Linked DNA regions of Drosophila melanogaster. The gene in region 2 interacts genetically with the main gene of each other region. Each region holds a gene or a part of one and is shown on either strand. Other genes may lie near its edges.

The links.
Region 1: of okr (region 2) and Hus1-like, changing one suppresses a phenotype caused by changing the other (phenotypic suppression), as found in Drosophila melanogaster (one study listed by BioGRID).
Region 3: of okr (region 2) and vilya, changing one suppresses a phenotype caused by changing the other (phenotypic suppression), as found in Drosophila melanogaster (one study listed by BioGRID).
Region 4: of okr (region 2) and mei-W68, changing one suppresses a phenotype caused by changing the other (phenotypic suppression), as found in Drosophila melanogaster (2 studies listed by BioGRID).

What each region holds. Positions count from the first base shown.
Region 1 is NT_033777.3:4,807,828-4,813,813, reverse strand, and holds Hus1-like (Hus1-like), read left to right. Parts: upstream 1-1,717; 5' UTR 1,718-1,831; exon of another isoform or gene 1,832-2,370; intron 2,371-3,026; exon of another isoform or gene 3,027-3,142; intron 3,143-4,539; 5' UTR 4,540-4,554; coding exon 4,555-5,391; 3' UTR 5,392-5,478; downstream 5,479-5,986. Other genes in the region: Gmppb (GDP-mannose pyrophosphorylase B), read right to left, coding at 1-11. UniProt on the Drosophila melanogaster protein: Component of the 9-1-1 checkpoint clamp complex. Involved in both meiotic and somatic DNA damage responses.
Region 2 is NT_033779.5:2,989,044-2,994,744, forward strand, and holds okr (okra), read right to left. Parts: upstream 3,717-5,701; 5' UTR 3,667-3,716; coding exon 3,664-3,666; intron 3,607-3,663; coding exon 2,292-3,606; intron 2,236-2,291; coding exon 2,082-2,235; intron 2,024-2,081; coding exon 1,618-2,023; intron 1,557-1,617; coding exon 1,393-1,556; intron 1,337-1,392; coding exon 1,024-1,336; 3' UTR 551-1,023; downstream 1-550. Other genes in the region: Bem46, read left to right, coding at 1-38, 116-294, 354-468; CG3558 (uncharacterized protein), read left to right, coding at 4,692-5,365, 5,631-5,701.
Region 3 is NC_004354.4:2,725,007-2,728,118, forward strand, and holds vilya (vilya), read left to right. Parts: upstream 1-1,671; 5' UTR 1,672-1,700; coding exon 1,701-2,221; intron 2,222-2,285; coding exon 2,286-2,478; 3' UTR 2,479-2,562; downstream 2,563-3,112. Other genes in the region: fs(1)Ya (female sterile (1) young arrest), read left to right, coding at 1-1,485; dwg (deformed wings), read left to right, coding at 2,826-3,112. UniProt on the Drosophila melanogaster protein: Required for the formation of DNA double-strand breaks during meiosis together with narya and nenya.
Region 4 is NT_033778.4:19,454,162-19,460,032, reverse strand, and holds mei-W68 (meiotic W68), read right to left. Parts: upstream 3,864-5,871; 5' UTR 3,058-3,863; intron 2,062-3,057; 5' UTR 1,982-2,061; coding exon 1,615-1,981; intron 1,557-1,614; coding exon 928-1,556; 3' UTR 510-927; downstream 1-509. Other genes in the region: CG7744 (uncharacterized protein), read right to left, coding at 4,863-5,780, 5,832-5,871. UniProt on the Drosophila melanogaster protein: Required for meiotic recombination. Together with mei-P22, mediates DNA cleavage that forms the double-strand breaks (DSB) that initiate meiotic recombination.

The DNA.
Region 1 (5,986 bases), on a different chromosome or scaffold from region 2:
TTTCCACACATCACTTCTCCGCTTCCGCTTCCGCCTCCTTTCCGTTCTCCGGTTTCTATAGTCCGTAAGCGAGCGACACGTCACACCTTAAAGTTCTCGAGACTTTCTCCGTACAACGAGATTCCGTTTCAGCGGTCAAACAACTGCAATCGACGAAGGCAAGTGAGTGACTCAGTTGGTTGTCTTTAGTTTATTGTTTACTCACCTTGTTGCGCTATCTATTTCCTTGTTGTTGTTTTTGGAATTGTCTTTTTTCGTGATAAGAACCTTTGTGCTTCTGGTTGGATGCACTTGCCTGTCCCAAAACAATAATAGTTTCTATTAGTTTTAGATGGACGTTTTCAAGGCTTAGGAATATCGATCTTGTCATTGAACATTCAATATGGTCTTTGTGTATTTTATTATCATTTGTTTTATGAGTAAACTCGCCGCACAGGAAAGTAAATAAAAACCGAGCTGGCAAAGTTGGGATAACACTATCGGAAGATGGCGATGATTGCGCTTCGTCCCACTCGCAGCAGCGCTGATAGCCGGATTCCACCGAACATTTTACGCTAAATTAATAAAATTTATTAAAATTCATTTCTTGTTAAATTGAAGAATCTTAAAAAATACTTTTCAGTTTAATTTAAATTAAATAACCTATCTAAAGACCACAATCAGGCATGTTCCGGTAATAGTAATATTTTTTCGATTACGATTTGGCAAAATCTTTCGACTTCGTTTTTAGGTGCTCGGGTTTTCGCGGAATTTTTGCGATCGGAATGTTTTGTAAACAGGAAACAGATGTCTAAGCTGTATTCCAGACAATGGAGCGACCAATTTTTTCACAGTTTTAGTTCCGATGTTCGCACTGCACTTTGTCCATTTAAGTAATTAAATTAAATAGTATTATTTACGAACAGTACTTTCGACCCTCCTTTAAATTAATTACGAATTTTTTTTCATTACATCTTATATGCATTTATACTGTTTATACTGTATTGTTTCACCAATAGTATAGCAGTCTTCCTGATAGCTTTTGTCGACATAATTATGAACACTTGCCAAATCGAAACTTTTTGTTGCCAACTGCAAAATTTTGTTTGTCAAATTTCAGGTGGGGTCAGAAATTACTTTTGTTTAATATAACTAAGTCTAAAAATGATCTTATGGTGATGTGGAACATAAACATCAATTAATAAATATCAATAGACCAGCAAACTATTTTTTCCCCTTAGTTAATAAGATCTGATTTGATATAAAAAAGGCATTTACTTTTTAAAAGGCCGTTTTACAAATTAAAATTTTCTTACGAATTCGATTACCGGAGCATTCCCGAATAATATTGTAGAGAGCAAAACGGGTTGATGGTTTCTAAGGTTTCAACGGCATTACTGTTTTGACTATTCCCTACATTTCAAAATATATCAAAAAGAAAATCCTAAAATGTACAGTAGAAATTCAGCTTTTTATAGCTTACTTAAAAGTTTCGCAATACTTATTCTTGAAAACGCAACTCAATGTAAGTTTATGTATAAAGTATACTTCTGTATACATTAATACAATTATAATTGTAATTAATTAAATCACTATAATTATAATTACCATGCATATCGCCTACAAACCAAATGCGGTCTGCGGCGAAGGTAACGGAAGGCCCCAAATGCATCGTTCACATTCAAATAAACAAAGCATTCCCCATCGGTATCGTTATCGGTTTTCGATGTCGATAGTCGTTCGTAGCAAGACGCGGTCTCACTGGTGCACATTGTTTTCCGTCGCGTGTGAAAATTGCTGAGTGTATAAAAACTGTGCATACTTAGAGAAAACTTCTGCATTTGGTTGAAAGGTAAGTGCGACTGCTGCGGACGCCATGGAGACCAAAAAGCTTTGCAAAGGCGAGCCTATGGCGATACGAAGAAGTAATTTGACCACTGATTTTATGGGGCTCCGAGCTCAGACGAGATACACATACGCACACATACACACGCTTACGTTTCAAATAGGCACCAGCGAGACGGAAAACAAAATGTCGACCGAATTGTATTTTCCTCTATTACTTTTTCCCACCGATTTGTGAAGGTTTATGCCTTTCGAAGGCTCGGAAAAGTGTGGTAAATTTGTGCTTTCCCAATTAGAAGTTTTTGATTGAGTGACATCTGGGTTTAAGTGCACTTTTTTCTGAGGGCAATCTCCAATATTGATTTTTACAATGGCTGCCGAGGAGTCTCATTCATTTTCCAGGAAAATGTGCACAGAAAAGCTTATACCAAAGTGCATAGGTGATTACAATTCCAAATGAATGATTTTCCAAATAGTTAGTTGATAAATTTACGAATAGAATTTTCTCGCAAATCAATTTTGATCGTCTTTCGTGTAGGTTATCCACTGATGAATACGTATGTGTGTCTTTTTATTCTATTCGAGTTGGTATTTTCTTTTATTTGATAAGGGGTGGGTGGGGGTCGAGCGCATCTTGTTTAGTTTTACTTTCTCTTTTATTTATGCTGCAAACTTCAGCGGGTGGTGCTCCATCCATGCTAGCATGTATGTATGTATTTAGAGTGAGTGTGTGTGAGTTAGTGAGTGAGACTGCAAGGCAATCACGTTTCTTATTCTCAGCATATTTATTTTCTGATCAATTTTTGGCCTCTTTTCAGCACTTTAATATTCTTTCCTCCCCTCTCCAGCATTTGTTTGAATTTTAATATTTAATTGTTAACGTACATATGTACATAGATACATACGTTTAGATACGTTTCAATGACGCGAGGGTTTCAGCAAGAAAGCAGATACATATATATACATATTTGTGTAGCCATTATTTTTTTTCGCTTCTTTGTGAAATTCGCTATGCTGCTGTGACGTCATAGGTCAATTTTTAAAGAGAAAAAATAAACAGCTGATTGCCAAATAGGCAGCACTGTCGTGCGAGCTAGAGTTGCCCTTCCTAAAAGGCCTACTAAATGTCATAAAATAGCCCTCATTGCACTGAACAAAACTCAACCCGGAGAACTCAGTGACGTACTTTTTCTGAATTTTAGGGATTATTACATCAGTTTTTGTATGCTTCCTTCATTCCTGATGCCATAGTATTACTAGCTTTGTCAACTTATACAGCAACTCAAACAACCCATGTGTATGGAAAGAACAAAATATGGTAAGTACCAGTTCATTTCTGAAAGAACTCTTAAAAGCAAATGGAAAATCGCTGAGGTACTGCCAAATTTCTTGTTATCCACTAACCACTCTGCCACGCATAAACGTTTGAGCTCATTTTCATTATCAATAACCTTGAAGGTTGATTGAACTGCGAAAGGAAATATTTTGACCCCCTAGACGGGATATAATTTGATTTCCGCCCCCGGAGCCCCCTGGCAACACCCTCCCCGCCCCGGGAGCCAACCCTGGAGCCGCCCCTACACTTGAGCCGTACAAATCCTGTCTGTCGTTTGATGACTTTGTGTGCAAGGAGAACGAGGCAGTCTTTGTATCTGACTGCGTGCTTCATTTCGTCGAGCTCCGTTTCGTTTAGCCTGCTCTCTGCTCACCGCTTCGCCCACCAACAAAAATACAAATAAATAAATGAAAAGAAGAGCCAAAACACAACTCGGAACTCGCTCTGCGCTTTGTTTGCCTGGCTCTTCTTTCCCTTCCCCCTCCCTCTTCCGTTTTCATCATTCGCCGTGTGTATGTGCGATGGACGAGCGAGTGTGCTGTGTGTGTGGGTTCGCTGGCGCCCGTGTGTGTGTGCGCCTTTGTACATTGAACTCAAAAATTCGAACTCGAGAAGAAAAGAAAAGAGTGAGAACGAGTGGAGACCAAGTCGGATAACCGACCCATCCCCTCCCTCTGGTGCCGTAGTCCACACACCTCATTAACCACCCGAAAAGGGGTCCCGAAGTCGTCTCGTATTCGTCGTCTTCATCCCAACTTAGAACCCTTTGATCAGGTTGCTTCGTCTGCTGACCCAGATGACGTCCATCCCAGATCCAAGACTTACCTAAAATGTTAAGTGAGTGGGACGTAAATGACTCCGATCAAAAAATAAATAATCCGTGTAATTCCTAAGAATGAAATATTACGAGAATGGCAAAACAGTTTATTCGAAATATCAACTGACTGATTGGGTCGTCTCAAATAGGATTAGTGCTAACAAATGGCATTTAATGCAATTCCTCTGAATTAGGGTGTACTATAAACTGTTGAACATCTGAAATATTGAGCTTGGGTTAGCTCTTTTTCCCCTGTTCCATACAAATCGATTTTTATAATAAATCAAAATATTGCAATGACCATTATGCATTGTTGCATTTTTAACAATTGCGAATTCTACAGTTATTGGATAGCCCAGATTTCAGTCTCAGCGCTATGGTTATATGGAAAATGAAAACTATTTTGTATAATATTTGAGATTTAGCGAACGGCAACCCTAAGGGAACGCTGCGTAGATTTGGATGCCTTTTTAGTTTTTGGTTGCCCGGCTTGACTCTGTTTTTTGTTCTTTTTTCTCCCTTTATTTCCTGATCATTACGATCCTGCTCTGATCTTGTACAGTTCTTTGCTGACAAGATGAAGTTCCGCGCACTGATGCAGGATCCGCTGTACATGAAAGAGTTCCAGGCCATTGTGGCCACTTTAACCAAGCTGGCGAAAGATTGTGTGATGATTCTGGGCTCTCGGCAGATGCATTTTATCGTGAACGAGGATCAGAGCTCCGCTGCATCGCCCTTGGTTTGGGCAGGAATTACAGCTGAGGAGTATTTTCCGGAGTATCGCATGGAGGCTGCTCACCCGGATCAGGAGTACATAGTTCTAGGCGTGTCTTCGGCGAATCTCGGAAGAGCTTTATCTGTGCTTCGTGGTGGAGGCGTAAACAGCTGCAAACTGAAGCTTCAAAGAATTCAGTTTCCGTGCATTTCGGTAATAGCCTCGGTGCTTACGTCGTCTTCAACAGAAGCCCGTGAAGTGGTGCACGATGTTCCAGTGACCATAATCCCGGGCAGCGATTGGTCTGCCTACGTTGTACCCAGAGTTCCAAACTCACAGTTGGCTTTGGGCCTACCAAGCCTAAGATTGCTCAAAAGTCTCATTGACAAGCTGAAGAATATATCACCCAGCCTGGAGTTTCAGGTCAACGTGGACGGAGAGCTCAATGTAATAGCCACCTCTGAAATGTCCACTGTGACTAGTCGATTCCAGAAATTACTAATTCGAACTGTGTCAGGATCCCAGCAGGAAGCGTCCTGCTCTGTGGATTCAAGGAAAGCCTCGGCCTTCTTTGGAGCACTTCAACTCCCTAACGAAGAACTGACTATTGGCATTGACCGTGAGCATTCCATCCATCTGCAGATCGATGTACGACAGGATGTGGTTCTGCACTCTATTCTGCCAGCTGTTTGTATGTAGCCTAAGAGCTGGTATGTTTATCATAGCTGTAATAAATGCGACTTGATGTATTCAGGTGTAATAAACGTTCTCACTTAATTCTTTTCCAGAAAAACTCGTCGATGTTAATTTAAATTATCTTTTTGCGACCCTATCCGCATCATCATGCGTTATCGCTTGAACAATTATCTCTTTTACAACTAATGTAGAATTTTTCTTGTTAGTAAATCTAGCAGGATTGAACACGTTCTACGATATTCTGCGGGTCATATTTATTTATTTACATATGTATGTATATAAAAACACATTACCAGCGCTGTTTGTTTCTTCTTGCATATTTATTTTAAAATTTAGTTCGCTAGGACCCTTTTGGCTATTGATGCATTACTTGAATGTTGAGTAAAAATCTTCAATACATTTTTGAATGTACCTAATAATTCTTGGAGAGAAGCAACCTTTCACGTCGTTTGCAAGTAGTAATGTTTGCCTAAACGATATCGGGCCTTATCAGTGAACGAAAGTTGGGGCGGCTCTTTTTATCGTCGCTCTTCGCTGCCTGTCCCACATTCGTCAGCAGCCGTGGCCCCATTTCGCGTTCTCTCTCAGAGGCTCTATT
Region 2 (5,701 bases):
CTGTGAAGTATATACCAAATCTATTATTTAAGAATAAGGTGGGTAGTCGTCGCCGGTTGAGCCCTCTGTTTACTTTATCTCATTACCACATTATTGTTTGTTGTTTCACATGCAGTATCACTCCATGAGCAAGATAGGCAAGTGTTCGGTTCCCTTTTTGTTTATTTCGGGCCTTGCGGACAACTTAGTGCCACCGCGCATGATGCGTGCCTTGTATACCAAATGCGGCAGCGAGATAAAGCGCCTGCTCGAATTCCCCGGCGGATCGCACAACGACACTTGGATAGTGGACGGGTATGGCCGGCAATTAATCTTCACTTTCCCATTTATCCATGGGTGTGCTTGCTTTTTAGGTACTATCAGGCCATCGGTGGGTTTTTGGCCGAGCTGCAGCAACAGCCGCTCCTCAAGGCGCCGGAGAAGAGCAACGTCTGGGTGGAGCTGGAGCATAAAATTATTGATGTATAGACCCGAATACATCAAGTGTTCAATTGACTGTGTTAACACTGCGAATGGTTTAATACTTATACATATACACACGCATAATATTAATCTGTATCTGACAGGGTTTTAATCCGGACGTTGCTATACGCCAAATTGCTTTTTATGTGCAGAGAATAACGTGCTAGCGGAGATGGCTGTTGATTTTAAGTAACCAACTTAAATAACTTTGCGCTTAAGCAAGTGAATACACACTAGAATCCGAATTTCGATGTTTGCTTGTATTTGTCCTAAGCTATGTTAACCTACTACTTTGCCCGATTGGCGGCCAGTTAAGAGTATAGAAATTGATCAGTATTTCACAAAAAAGTAAACTATTTTCTGGACTGACTCCTACATTGCCAGATTAGTTTATAGAAGCCTTCACCCCTAGCACGTTAACATTTTGTGCTGGTTCCATTTTTGAAATGTTAAATTAATAACTTGTTAGGATTGCAAAGGAAGCCAGAAAAAGTTATCTTAAGTTTAGACTTAAGTGCGAAGAAAAAGGAAATTCGAGAAACAATAAACTGCAAACAATTGCTAGAATCCACGGAAGTCCTCATCGGCACTGTCATCACTGGCGGGCGTGGATGATCGTTTGCGGCTTTCTGGTTTTTCCTCTGGCTGATCTGTTGCTTCCTCCTCAGCACTCGGCACAATTTCCTGAGCCTGCGATCGGTGGTGGAAGACAAAGGACACGCACTTGCAATCCATCCAGGCCTGGGCGAGAATATTGTCAGGCAGGCCTCTGTTGTTGGAGCAATGGTACCATTGTGACAAATGCGAGGTGCAGTCCGTGTCCTCGGGCGGTGGCTTCATTTGTATATTTTGAACGCAGCGCTTACACTTGAGCCTGAAAAGATATGTTACACGATCATGATCTAAAGGGTATCCAAAGCCAGTTCTTACTTGTCGTGTGTGTCGGACAGAATGTTCGCATCAAATGTAAACAAGTCCTTCAGATCGTCGCGGGTGAAATGCTTCTCGGCCGACTCGTTGTTGTCAATGATGGTGCTCGACAGGGATTTTTTGTGCGTCTGTCGCTGCAGGATCTTCTCCTCGATGGAACCACTCTGAAAGAGATTTCTTGAGTTGAAAAAGAAAGTTCCGTGCAGAACCAATTCAGGTACTCACGGCAACGAGGCGATATATGTAACAGGGCTTCTTTTGCCCGTCACGCCACACTCTGGCCATTGCCTGCTCATCGTTGGCCGGATTCCAGTCTGGGTCAAACATGAACAGGCGGTTGGCTCCAATCAAATTCAAGCCGCAGCCGCCAGCCTTGCTGCTCAGCATGAAAAGGAAGCTGTCAGACTCCGGGTCATTGAATCGGTCAACAACCTTCGATCGCTTCTTGATGGACATGGTGCCATCAAGCCGGACAAATCCGTACTTTCGCTTCCTCGCGAGCTGCTCGAACAAGTCCAGGGTCTGTGTGTAATTGGAAATGAGAACCACCTTGTCGTTGCCCTCTGCACGTATTGCTGCCAGCATGAAATCCAGGAGCATGAACTTGCCACTTAGCTCTGGATTGAGATCCCTGGAACACAAAAGATTCATTAATAGCCATTGCTATTCGCGCGCAACAGGCGACGTACTTTGGTTTGTAATTACTAGGCAGCACATTTTGGGAGTTTTCGAATCCCTTTTCCCGCGCAGTGAGCTTCTCATATATGAGATCCGGATGACTGCAAATCTTCTTAAGCGTTGTAATGTCTGCCAGCGCCGTAAGCGAAGCCTTTTCATTGCAATCTTGAAGGGAATTGTAAATGGTAGGAATGTTGTGGTAGTATTGCCTAATGACTTACCCGCCAAACTACGTCGAACTTGATCAGACTTCAAGAAATTCGTGTATAGCTCGAGTTGAATCGCCGTCAGTTTCGCACAGATAACCATTTCAAACTTAACCGGCAGATATTTGGTTAGAATTTGATTAGTGCGACGAATGATGCACTGATCGACCAGACCTATCAGCTCCTGTGTCTTCTCTATGGCCCGTTGTCGCTCCTGTTCCGTGGAGTCAGTATTCTGGCCCCGCAGAATAGCGCTCTCGAAGTTGCGCTTAAACACGGCCGCCGTTCCCAGCATCTCCGGGTTTACAAAGTTCACCAGGCTGTAGTACTCAGTAAGATCGTTCTGGATGGGAGTGCCGGAAAGCAAGACCCGTCGCTTTGTCTTCAGTCCCATGAGAGCCTGATACGTCAGATTGTCGCTGTTCTTGAGGCGATGTCCCTCGTCGCATATCACCATTCCCACCTCGTACTTGCACAGGATCTCCGCGTAGATGCGAAATGTCTCGTAGCTGATGAGCAGAACAGGTGTCCCCAGCCGGGCAGAAGTCATGGAGAACTGCTCGAGTGCTCGGATGGTGTTCTCCTTGGTCCCGCCCTCCATGGGCAGGCAAAGGAGTCGACCGTGAAGCCACTTGGTAAACTCCTTCTCCCAGTTCTTAACCAGCGATGATGGAGACACGACAATGGCTTTGTTGATCGTCGGCTTGCACTCGGGCCCCTGCCTTAGAAGTGTCCAGACCAGCGTTACGCACTGCAGCGTCTTCCCGAGACCCATTTCGTCGGCCATGATGCATCCATTGAAGTTGCCCCGCTTTCCCTCCACACACTCGTACATGAAACGCACTCCCTCGCGCTGGTGCGGCCGCAATATGTTGCTCAGCAGCGGATCGACGACGACGTGCACCAGAACCTTGGTCGGATCCATGCCCATGCGCTCGTGTTCTGTGTAGGCGGGTGGATGGAAGAGTACCAAGGCGTTGCAGGCCATCGGATCGTGTAGGGGTCGTCGGGAAATGCAGCGCCGCACGCCCAGGACCCGTTTACCACCGTAATCCGGTACGTAATTGTCCATGGGCACCTTGAACTTCCGTGCCAGAACCTTGGCAATGGCCAACTCATACTCGCTGTTCGCCGTGAAGCGAATAGGCAGTGGGAGCTCTGATGTGTTGCTGGCATCTCGGAGGGCGCCCAGTCGTCTTCTGTCCAGTTCTTGCTCTCGCTCCAGTTCCTGCTGGCAGGATCGCTTGTTTTTCTTCAGCAGTGGCGGCGTGAAGGAGTGACGGGACTCGGGACGCAGTGGTCCACGTTGGCTGGGAGCCAGACTGCGCCGCTTTAGGAATAAATGATTAGGGAAATGGAATTAAATAAATCAAATTTTTGTATTTACCATTTCATTAAATTCAAATGGCGGTAGCGCGAACAGCTGATAGAAGCGCGGAAGTCTGGTCACACAGGCGATAAGAAATACTGGTAAGTGGAACGCTGGGATAATGAAACAGAACGCATTTAATCAAACTAATACTTGTGATCATAGCACGCTGTTTTAAAAGTGAATAGATAATTAGATAAAAATAAAACTAAAATGGAATTGCTACACCCCGATGTCAAAAATTCCCGATGTATCTCAGGTATAATCGAAACATCGATATGTTATATTGATAGCTGCTCATCGCTAACTTTCTATTTCCGTGCAGATATAATTGTAAATATTTACGCAGAATTGCTTTGGAAACACTACGAAAATAGTGCAAAATGAGGCAATAAAGTGCGGGCCGGACTGCCTTCCCTTTCTTGACTTCAAAACCCGCGCCAAAAGCGCGAATTTCGTGCTGCAAGAACGCAAATCTAGTCCGCAAATCTGCGGAAGTGTTGGTACTACCACTTAATTGTATTTGTAATTGTAATTGCCAAAGTGCCAAAAAAAAAAACGCTGCAAATGCTGCAAGCGTGAAAACCCATCTAAGAAGGGCCACTAAACAGTAATGGGTGTAGATGCACGATGCACGGAGAGCGGAAAGCAGCGGAGACGATGACGATGATCAAATCTAAATTCATCAGGTGAGCGAGCAGCAGCAGCAACAACAACCACAGTGAGTGCCCAAATAGGTGGGCACACGTACACAGGTGTGTGTGTGGCTGTGTGCGTAAGTGTGTCACTTGTTGTTCTTGGGAACATTAGAGAAAAGTAAATAGCGAATATTCAACTAAAGTGCGTCTTCTTTTAGCTTCTAAATATTTAAAAAGCGAGCAACATTGAAATACTCACCACTCACACAGTCGGACAAAAGCACAAAACGAGAGATAACAGAGCACCAGCACCACCAATTCATGCCAAACGAAACGCACACGGAGCAGTTATCAGCGGACCAGCGCCACTAAAAGCCACCGAATCGCACACACACCGCACCGACAACGATGTGGCTGCGCCAGAGCAGCGGTGGAGGCGTTGCCTCCGTCGGACACGTCGGCCCACTGCGACAGCGACCCATCGACGCTGCCACAGACTGCGATCCGCGCGCTTGCTACGACAGCTTCTGTAAGCACTGGCAGCAGGCCTTCGAGATCATCCAGCACAGTGCACCGCCCTCGCACGACGACGTGCTGGGCGTGGTCTCGCACTTGGACTACATGGTCACCCTGCTGCTCGTGGAGCTGCATCACTGCAACAAAGTCTCGCTGCCGGCGGCCGAGGCTAGTGGTCCGCCTGCGGCGCCCTGCCTGGAATTCCTGCTCAGCGAGAATCTGCTGGACAAGCTGTACGAGTGGGCCTGCACCACGGGACGGTATGCCAACGCTGTGAGGCTGGAGCAGCTGAAGCTGTACGAACTGCTCGTCAGCCACTCGCGCCACCAGCTGCTCTGCCACGAGCCCTTCCTGCGACCCCTGCTCAAGATACTGGCATCCAGCCAGGGCGAGATCTTTCCGCCCGATCTCGAGAAGCGCCTGGTGATCCTGCTGAACCAGCTGTGCGTGGTTCTTATGCAGAATGTCCACCTGCTGGACCTCTTTTTCTTCTCCGCCCAGACGCAGGTGCAGGAGCAGATATTAAATGGCAACGTGGCGCCACCCAAAAGCGGAACCACTACCAAGTAAGCTCATAACTTTTAAACATTCCAATTCATTCAGCATAAAAAAGAATAGCGATAAATGAATATTTGTGTAATGATTCATCGCGTAATAGCGACATTAGCCAGATAAGGCAATACTAAAAAAGTGACCCTGTAATATTCCAATTACGAGTGATGAATCCACTTGACTTGTTCCATTTATCTTCTAAGATTTATATATTTATATTCTAAGACTTTATTATAAGGTATATTCCGTGTCTGATAAATCTTTTATTGATTCTTTTAGCTTCATAATATTTTCGCTGCTTATCCCGTACGTGCATCGCGAAGGCAGTCTTGGTCACCAAGCGCGCGATG
Region 3 (3,112 bases), on a different chromosome or scaffold from region 2:
CGCTCCATTGGCCAACTGGGCGTGAATCCGTCCGAAACGATGGAGAAGGGCAAGGTCATACGCTCGACGTCCACACCACTGCACGTGGAGTCCGTGTTCGCCAAGCCCAAGGAGCCGATTACCTTCAATGCTTCCACTGGCGGCCACGTGTCCAGCATCTACCACGAGGAGCCCAGTCCGACACCCGAAAGCAATCCCGTCCAGCAGCAGCAGCAGCAGCAGCAGCCGTTGCAGCAGCGCGCCTGGAAAATGGGCGCCCGCAACAAGATGAGCGCCGCAACGCCGCTGCGCCAGGTCATGTCCAAGAGCATTCAGAAGGCCTTCGTCGAGCACGGCGGCATGATGGTCCACCAGCCACCATCCGCAGTGGTGCAACGTCGCGTGCGCCTCGATCTCAGCGAGCACAGTTCGCACGAGGCAGCAGGCTCGTCCGCTCTGGACCTGCGACTCTCGCCAGCTATGCGGCGCACCCAGAGCGAGTCCAGCGCCTCGGAGGTCAACAGCGGCAGCAGCTCCAGCTACAGCACCTCGCGGAATGCCGATCTATGCAAGCGGCAGTTCTTGCTGTCCGCACAGAAACTCACCACCGAGTCGATCATCATCACGCGGACGAACTCCAGCTCACAGAAGACCTCTTCCACGGTGTACAACTCATGCGAGAGCGTCGAGATCATACGCTCCACCTCGGAATCAGCGGAAGTGTGCCACGTGCCGGCCATAACGCCCATCCGTGTCACCGGTGCCGGCATCAACAAGAAGCAGATCAAGTTCGAGACGCCGCCCAAGAGCAGCCAACAGATGCGATCGAATGGCGAGGGCGATGAAACCAAGGACCAGTTTTTCACGCCGGAACCGGGAACGCCGGAAATTCCAGAGCGTCGTCATCGCCAGGCGATTGTGCCGCGCCAGCTGAGCGGCGAGTTTTCGCCCAAGAAGGATAAGCCGAAGGAGAAGGGGCTGGCGGTGATGGCCCTGATCTCGCCGCCATTGCAGCAACCCAGGGTGCGTCCTCCGTTGCGGGAATGCCGTCAGCAGAGGGTCTATAGCGGCGTGCAGGATGTGGGCGAGCCGGAGGTCGTGGACGCAGAAGAGGAGGACGAGGTGTTCCGCCCCACAAACGCCTCCACGTGCAACGACAAAAAGCTGGAGGCGCCCAACTCCGGTCGCCTGTGGTCGCTGATGAGTTCCATGATGCGACTGCCGGCCAGCTTGCGCGGCGAACGCGAAAAGGACAGGGACAGGGACAGGGATTCGGATAAGGAGAACGCTGGTTCGGGCTCACTCATCCGTCGCTGCGCCTCCATCGCTGGATCCCTGGTGCGCCCCAGTGCAAGGGACTCCTCCATGGAGGACCAGCAGTGCCTCAAGAGAAAGCGCACTCAGACGCTGGACAGCCAGTACTGTAGCCCGCTGTCGCCGTCCAGCTCCTCGAAGCGCTACCGCATCCGGCCCAGGGAGCCCATCGAGCGCATGCGTCGCCAGTAGGTTTTAAGCTTTTGCCTGCGAATCTGTGTTTTAATTGTGAAATTCTTCTTTTTTTTTATCGTTTAATAAATGTTTGGTCTTGCATTAACCGTTATGCGCAGCAGGAGTTGGCAGGTCCAGGAGCTTAGCTCGTCTCATTCAGAGCTGCCAACTCTATCTATTGATTCTGTTATTAATTAGTTGCGCACAAGATCGAAAAGCTTAACGGAGCGCCCATGGCGAAATCACAAGCAGGTCAGACTGTCGAGCCGGAGGCGTCCAAGCTGTGGATCCACTGCAACAGCTGCTGCGCCCTGTTCTGCGATAAGAAGCACACCTTCTTCCTGCTCGCCTGCCATCACGTGTTCTGCGAGCGGTGCGTCAAGGTCTCCGCCGGCCGCACGCCCAGCGACGCGCCCATATTCGAATGCTCCACCTGTCGGCGGAGCGTGCGCGGCCGCCAGTTGACCAACTCGATGCCCAACCACTTCAAGCAGCTCTTCCATCCGGAGCCCTTCACCATCGGCAACGACTTTGTGGAGACGTTCCAGCGCGGCAATCATCGGCACTTCGACAAGTACAAGGAGAGGAAGGAACTGGAGATGGATAAGCTGTTCAAGGACATCGAGGTGGCCAAGTCCGTGTGCCAGAAACGCTTCCTGGAGGCGCAGATGCTGCGCGTGGAGCGCAAGAAGCTGATGCAGAGGTCGCGCTACATTAAGGCGGAAGTCGCCAATCGGAAGGCGGAAATGCATCGGTGCGACATTTGGATTCCATTGAAAATAGTTCCCATTAATGCATTATATTTCTACCCGCCTTAGGATGGCCCAGGCCTACCGAAGCCGCTCGCTGACTTCGCAATCCTCGTCATCCGCCCAACGCTCGGCGCGCGGACGTCCTCGTGGCCGTGGAACAGCCACACAGTCCTCCAGTCGACGCCGATCAACGGAATCAGCAAAGCGGCAGCAAATCACCAGCTTCATACACCCGCCGAACAACTCGTTCGATCTGTGAGCTAGTGCTGATAGGTAAAGCTCTGTTTTACAACCGAGTATATATTTTTTGTAAATAATCAGCTTAAAACAATAAAATGGTGTCATAAGCTTTAAAATAATAAACTGCTAAGTTAACAGCGACCGTTAAGTTTCAATTAACAGTTTCGTTAGGATAACAGAAGTGTTGAAAGTGAATTCGATTAATCGAAATCCATCGATGACTGCTGCACCGATAATATCGCATAAGCATCTGCTCTAAAAACGCATAAAAATTGAATTGCAAGAAGTAGAAGAGCGAAACGTCATAAAAGCGGCAAATCCGGCGCTGTCCGACAAGAACCACAGGGGAAAGCGGATAAGGACATCATGATGAATAGCAAGATCGCCGAGGTAGTGGTGCTCAACTGCCGGACGTGCACGCGTGCCTGCAAGCTGCACAAGCCGCTGCAGGAGGAGATCGATCTGGGTTCGGAGGGCAGCACCACGCTGGCCAGCATGCTAAACTACTGCACGGGACTCTCGTTCGAGCCGCAAGACGGCGCCGCCATGCCGCAGCACATCTGCCTCCACTGCCTGCAGCTGCTGGAACAGGCGTTCAACTTCAAGCGCATGGTCATCGATTCGGACGAGCTGCTCCGCCTGGGCCTGGACGA
Region 4 (5,871 bases), on a different chromosome or scaffold from region 2:
CCGCCGGTGCTGCTACATTGGATGCTGTGCCATTGGACACGCTATCCGCTGGCAGGGCCTCAGGAACTGACTGCAGTGTGGTGCGCATTGCTGTCGACATATTTTTAAACAGTCCAATAGGGATTCTTAGAGATTCTGCACGTGAGATTCGAGTATTTTCGGGAGTCTTTCAGGTTTCGGTGCTTAAAAGTAGTCAAATGCCCAATGGGTTTCTATCATCCGTGGTACTCCTTCACATCTGCAAGAAATAAATGCACGCAATTAGTATGGATCTAAACAAAGCAGACTACTTGTATCTTTCGGCACCTATAATATGACTGGCCATTCACTTGCCATTATCAAAAACGTAGCCAATTACCGGCTCCGATTACCGACCTCAAGCCATAACACTTTAGAGGCACAATAAAAAAAATAATCTCCTTTGTCTGCTTGAGTTTACTGGCTTCGTCCACACAAAGTAATGCAGAAAATCAAGTTGACCACTCAATACGAAACACTAGAAGCAGATTACTCAGACATTACGAGTGTAAATTACTATTATCCGTTATCCAAATATTAAAATTATGTTTTCTAAAGGCAAGGATCTTAAGGTACTTTAATATTAATTAGTCGTAATATTATATTGACGTTATTAAAGCTGCATTGAAATTAAACATTACATTTTATAACATAAGCAACAAAATCGGAATCCCAATGAATGGGGAATTTAATTATTAAATTACTATCTTAATTAATTCAAATATTAATGGAAAGCTGATTACGCGAACTAACTTTTACAGTACTATTTTTAGGAGTCTTATGGTATCTTTATAGAGATACGTTTTTTACAAACTAATTACTATATTACTATACCTACAACATATTTTAAACTAACTAATAATATTTCAAGAGTAATAATATTTGGCTTATGGGGTTTACCACTGAACTCTACAAAAACAAGTTCCGATTGATTTTATTTGGTATATAGTCGTCGGTCAGGAAGTCGATGACACTCTCGATTTCGGCCTTCAGCTGAACGTCCTGCAGCATGCGCAGTTCCTGCCGCACTCCCGGCTCCAAATCGTGGCGGGCGAGGAGGTCATTGATTTTCTTGTTGTCGCCGGCAACCAGGGCAACCGCTCCAGTGCCGAGTGCGGGAATCTCCGAGGGGTGTAGACCAATCCAACGCAGCGCAGGTGTGGTTAGTCCTTGGCTGGAAAAACTCATGGACTTCGAGCCATGGCGATAGACTAGCATTATCTCGACGCCAAATGGATCGGCGTCAACGAGAATGTAGGCCGCCAGTTGGTTCTCCTCGGTGAGCCGATGGACAATCCTCCGGGTACAGCAATCGGGGTATCCTTTTCCAGTTATAAGGATGAAGCGTCGTTCAAAAGTACCAAATACATTTCTGGATAAGAGACTCTCAAAAACCGACTCCTTTTCAACGATTAGCACAAATTCCGCCAGCGTTTCGATTCGATCTATCTTCTCGGGATCCGTGGGCAATGTCAGAGGTCCACCATACAAGCTGCTGTCCAGAACGTCTCCGTTGGTCATCAGCAGCCTTAAGTCGCCTGCAAGAGTAACCGGATGAGCAGGGAGCCTTTGATCAGGATTTCGAGATAAACTCACCTGCCACCAGGCCCTTGGAGGCGGCCAGTATGCCCAAGCTTAGGGGGGATGTCCTCAGCATACGACAGACATCTAGCCTGGCTTCGGCAATCCTGGACTGCGACCGGACTAGCAGAGGATTGTCATAGTATAGTCCACGGACGGTGAAACTTCCTCCGCGGACTTGCAATCGGTGCACCCGGGAGAGCATGTAAATCAGCACGCAAAAGCTATGGCGACTTCCGCGATTATTATAGCTGACTCGTCGATATTCCGAGATCACGTTTCCGGATGAATTTCGGGGAACACTAAGAGTGGCATTGCCATGAACCAAGTTGCTCAGCAACTCGAGGGCAATTCTTTCTATATTCTCCGAAAATTCATCCATTGTTCTAGCAATTTACTTATATTAGGAACGGATTCTTAACAACAAATATGTACGTCTTCTTGATTTCGTACTCTTGCAATCTACAAAATGAGGTTTTTTAATATCCAAATTAAGAGAAATTAATAATAAATATAATTTTACTTGTGAATAACAGATTTAAACTTAATTAAGCGGCATATATTTTAACAAGAACTTGGTTACTAACGCTTAAATTTTAAACAATTACATTTTTGAATTCCTCCAACTTTATGTATCCTTGCTCCCAATTTCCATTAGTTCTAAATTCGCATGAATTCTTCTGTTTATGTTCAATGATTTGAAACATTCTCTAGAATACAAAGTGTAAGCACTTTTTTGGTCTAATTTAATTGCATGGGTGGTGCCACGCCCCCGGGATTTTCTTGTTGGTTCTTTGAATGCCTTTGTCACAAGCGGAAACCCCGCAGGAAAATGAGTGAAAACTGTGGGCTAAAACGTTGAAACACGCCCACCGACCTACGCACAGTAATATTTCATAAATACGTAAGCAATTCGTGGACTTACATACTATACGAAAATCAAGTGGTCTTTGCACTTACTTATATCTGATTTTGTAAAAGTTTATCGCGTAAATCGTTGCGTGGAAACATTTCGAGGGGGGTTATAAATAATTTCCGAAAGGAGCTTGCTGGCTAAAAATATACCATCGAAATGAAAATTCCCTTTCGGTGAAAACAACTGTTTTTTAAAAATTTAAGCACGCACACTAGTTGCAAATGAAGAGAGCGCGAGGGAGAGTGCCATAAGTTTATGTGAATTTCTTTATTCGGTCTTTCATTTTTTCTTCTTATTTTATTATTCTTTTTTCCTTCTTTTTCGTATGTGCAGAAAAGTGTACTCGTTATTACAAAGCACACATACACCGAGTGTGGGCGGGCGGGGGGTTTTCGCTCTCTTTTGGGGAAGAGAAAGAGAGAGACTGACGGAAAAGAGAGAGCGCCAACGAATGGGCTAGGAAAACTGACGAACGGAACGAAACGGAATGGCAGCCCAAGTATTGATTTGCTGGTTATGGTGCTGCCACTTCTTGTACTTACCAATGAAATACAATTTCCGATTGGCCCAAGAAAAGCTAAAGCTGAAAAGCTATTAGCTCTCTCGCTCAGAGAGGAGTCGCTAGCTGATGGTCGCTGCTGTTGTTGTTGTTGTTGCCATCGATGTAACGCATATTATTATTTAATTTCTTTCGATTTTCCCAGTTCCTTTTCCGATTCCGTTTACCCGAAAGTGGTTAGGTTTGGAAAGGCTCTGCTTTTTACCGACTTTTACCGAACGAAAACGACGACACACACAACGAAATGCAAATGCAATACATAGCTTTCTCACTCGCTCACTAGCTACCTCTCGACCGCTCTCACTCGCACAGCAGCAGTAGCAGCAGCTCTTTGGTTTTCAATCAGATTTTTCTTTCTTATATTTTCTTATCGCGATGGTTTTTTCTTTCGCTTTTTTTTTAAGAAGAACGGTCACCGATTTTTCACAAGGATTACGAACGCACCCCCACTGCTCTCCCCAGTCACTGAAAAGCCACAATAATAACAACAACAACGACAGTCTTGTTGGCAACAAATGGAAATATTCGCTATATGCTCTGCGCTGCTCTGCCCTTCGCAAAACTAATGTGTATCCGCGATGGGTAATGGGTAACTTGATATTGATACGATTACTAATATTATTGATAGCCGATTAGCCGACATAAGCGGTGGCCGCAATTGGCAAACGACGATTGTCCCGCTCCCGCAACGCAGTTAAATATTACTATTTTCCTCCGTCCACATCCACTTTGGCAGCAACAAAAGTATGTACGTCTCGGTCTCTCAAAAAAATTCACATTACGATACGGCAGCCATATTGTAGCAGTGTTGCCAGCTGGACGGTATTCAAAAATACTAAACTTTTTCTCCTGTTACTACTTATATACTAAATATACAGCAAGCTGTCATCTAAAAACCGCGCCCACAGACTGATTGATTAATGTGTAATTTGAAATAACCAGCTAAATTTTACATTCGAGAATGGTTAGAGGCTACACAACCTTATATACATAATTGTTTATTAAGATAATTTAAATTCATAATATATTTGTTCAATATTAACAACAACATAAACAACATACTTTCAGGGGCAAATGTATGAATTTTTGAAGTGCCGTGCCGACTTTGGAAACGGCCACTTTGATTTCTACACCGCGCCGTTAACCAACTGGCAGCACTGCACTAAGAGAGCGTGTTCTGAAATCTAAGAGAACAATATAACATTTTTTAAAAGAGAAAAACAACCAAAAAGACAGGTCACTGTTATTATTGAATTTAACTTGATAATGAATATTTTCTTATAACTGCACTTAACTTAACAAAATAATAACCATTTTTTTGTTTTGCTTTTATTTCAAAAAATATGTATTTGTATAATAAACAATTTATCTAGTTTATGTGAGTCACAAAAGTTTAGTTAACGATAAAAACAAACTTTGAATGATTGTCTTCAATGAATAAATAACTTAGTTACCAAAGCTTTATTCTCCCTTTAAAATCAAGTAGTATTTATATTACCTTCTAATCTTACTCCCTGACTTTCAATTCCCTGAAAAGTTCTATATTGAAAACCACGAAACTTAGAGCTACACAGATTAAAGAATGTCTAGCTAAACACTACTTATTTAGTCGATTATAAGTAAAGGGAGGACTAACCTTTAGTAGAATAAAGAAGCTTAAAAACTGTAAGTCAAAAATAAATTATTTGATAATTAAGTTAAGTCAAATTTATATAATTTCCCAACTGGCGGTGATCTTTTCCAGAATTTTTTCTAAGTTTTTCTAGATATTTATGACCTCACATCACATTAGTGTATTGGCTGTGAGGATTTTGAGTTAATCTCAATCCACTTCCTAAGTAAATCCCCCGGCTGCATAGTTGGCTGTTGCTGCGGAAGAGCAGTCCTCGAGTATTGATATTCACTAGGCGTTATTGTGGGTGTAGGTGACGGCATTGGCGGAAAAACTGCGAAATTTCGCTGACTCTCACGGGCTTCGGACCAGCCGTAGTCCCTTACAGTTGCAGCACCTGTTCCGCATTGGGCTTCTGGACGTGGCTGCGACTCAAATCCAGAAGATTGTGACGAAGTGCGGGAAAGTTGATTCTGCTGTTTCTCTTCGTAATGTCTCATTAGATTGGCAGTGCATAGATCTTGGTTCACACTTTGATTGGCCGCCACCCAGGCGCTTACATCAGCTCCGCCGACGTTCCTGTTTATGGACGGCAAACGCGATGGCATCAAAAGATTTTGCGTGGATCTAGTGAAAGTATTGCCTTGGGCCAGGTTACTTTGTCCATGGCGATACCATTGGGACTCTAATGGTCTCATGGGTTTCTGTTGAAACATCATCGCCGGCTGGACACGCGGGGCAACCACTGTAGAGGCATCTCCATAGTTCGAGGACCAAGCCTGCTGTTCCATCCGTTGCTTCGACAGATGCAACGAGTCCAGGGACAGCAAAGAAGCAGGCGCCTGAATTGTTCGCTGGGAAATCGTTGGGGCGGGTGAGTGGCACACAGAGGCGGTTCGCATGGACAAATTGCTATTGCTGATATCACTGTATCCACTTAACTGCTGACTGAGCATGCTCAGCGTTTCATCATCGCATTCGTCCGCACAGAGGCGATGGAAGCTCTCACAGGCAGACTCGTCCCGATTCACTTGGCTCAACAGATTGGTCCGGTTGGTGGCCAACAAAACAAGGGTTACAAAACTTCCCACCAGCTGTTTAAAGAATTTGTTAAATAAGATTCAAATATAAGTAAATGCACTTACTATAAAGGATATTCCACTGATGTAAGGATCCAGGAATTCG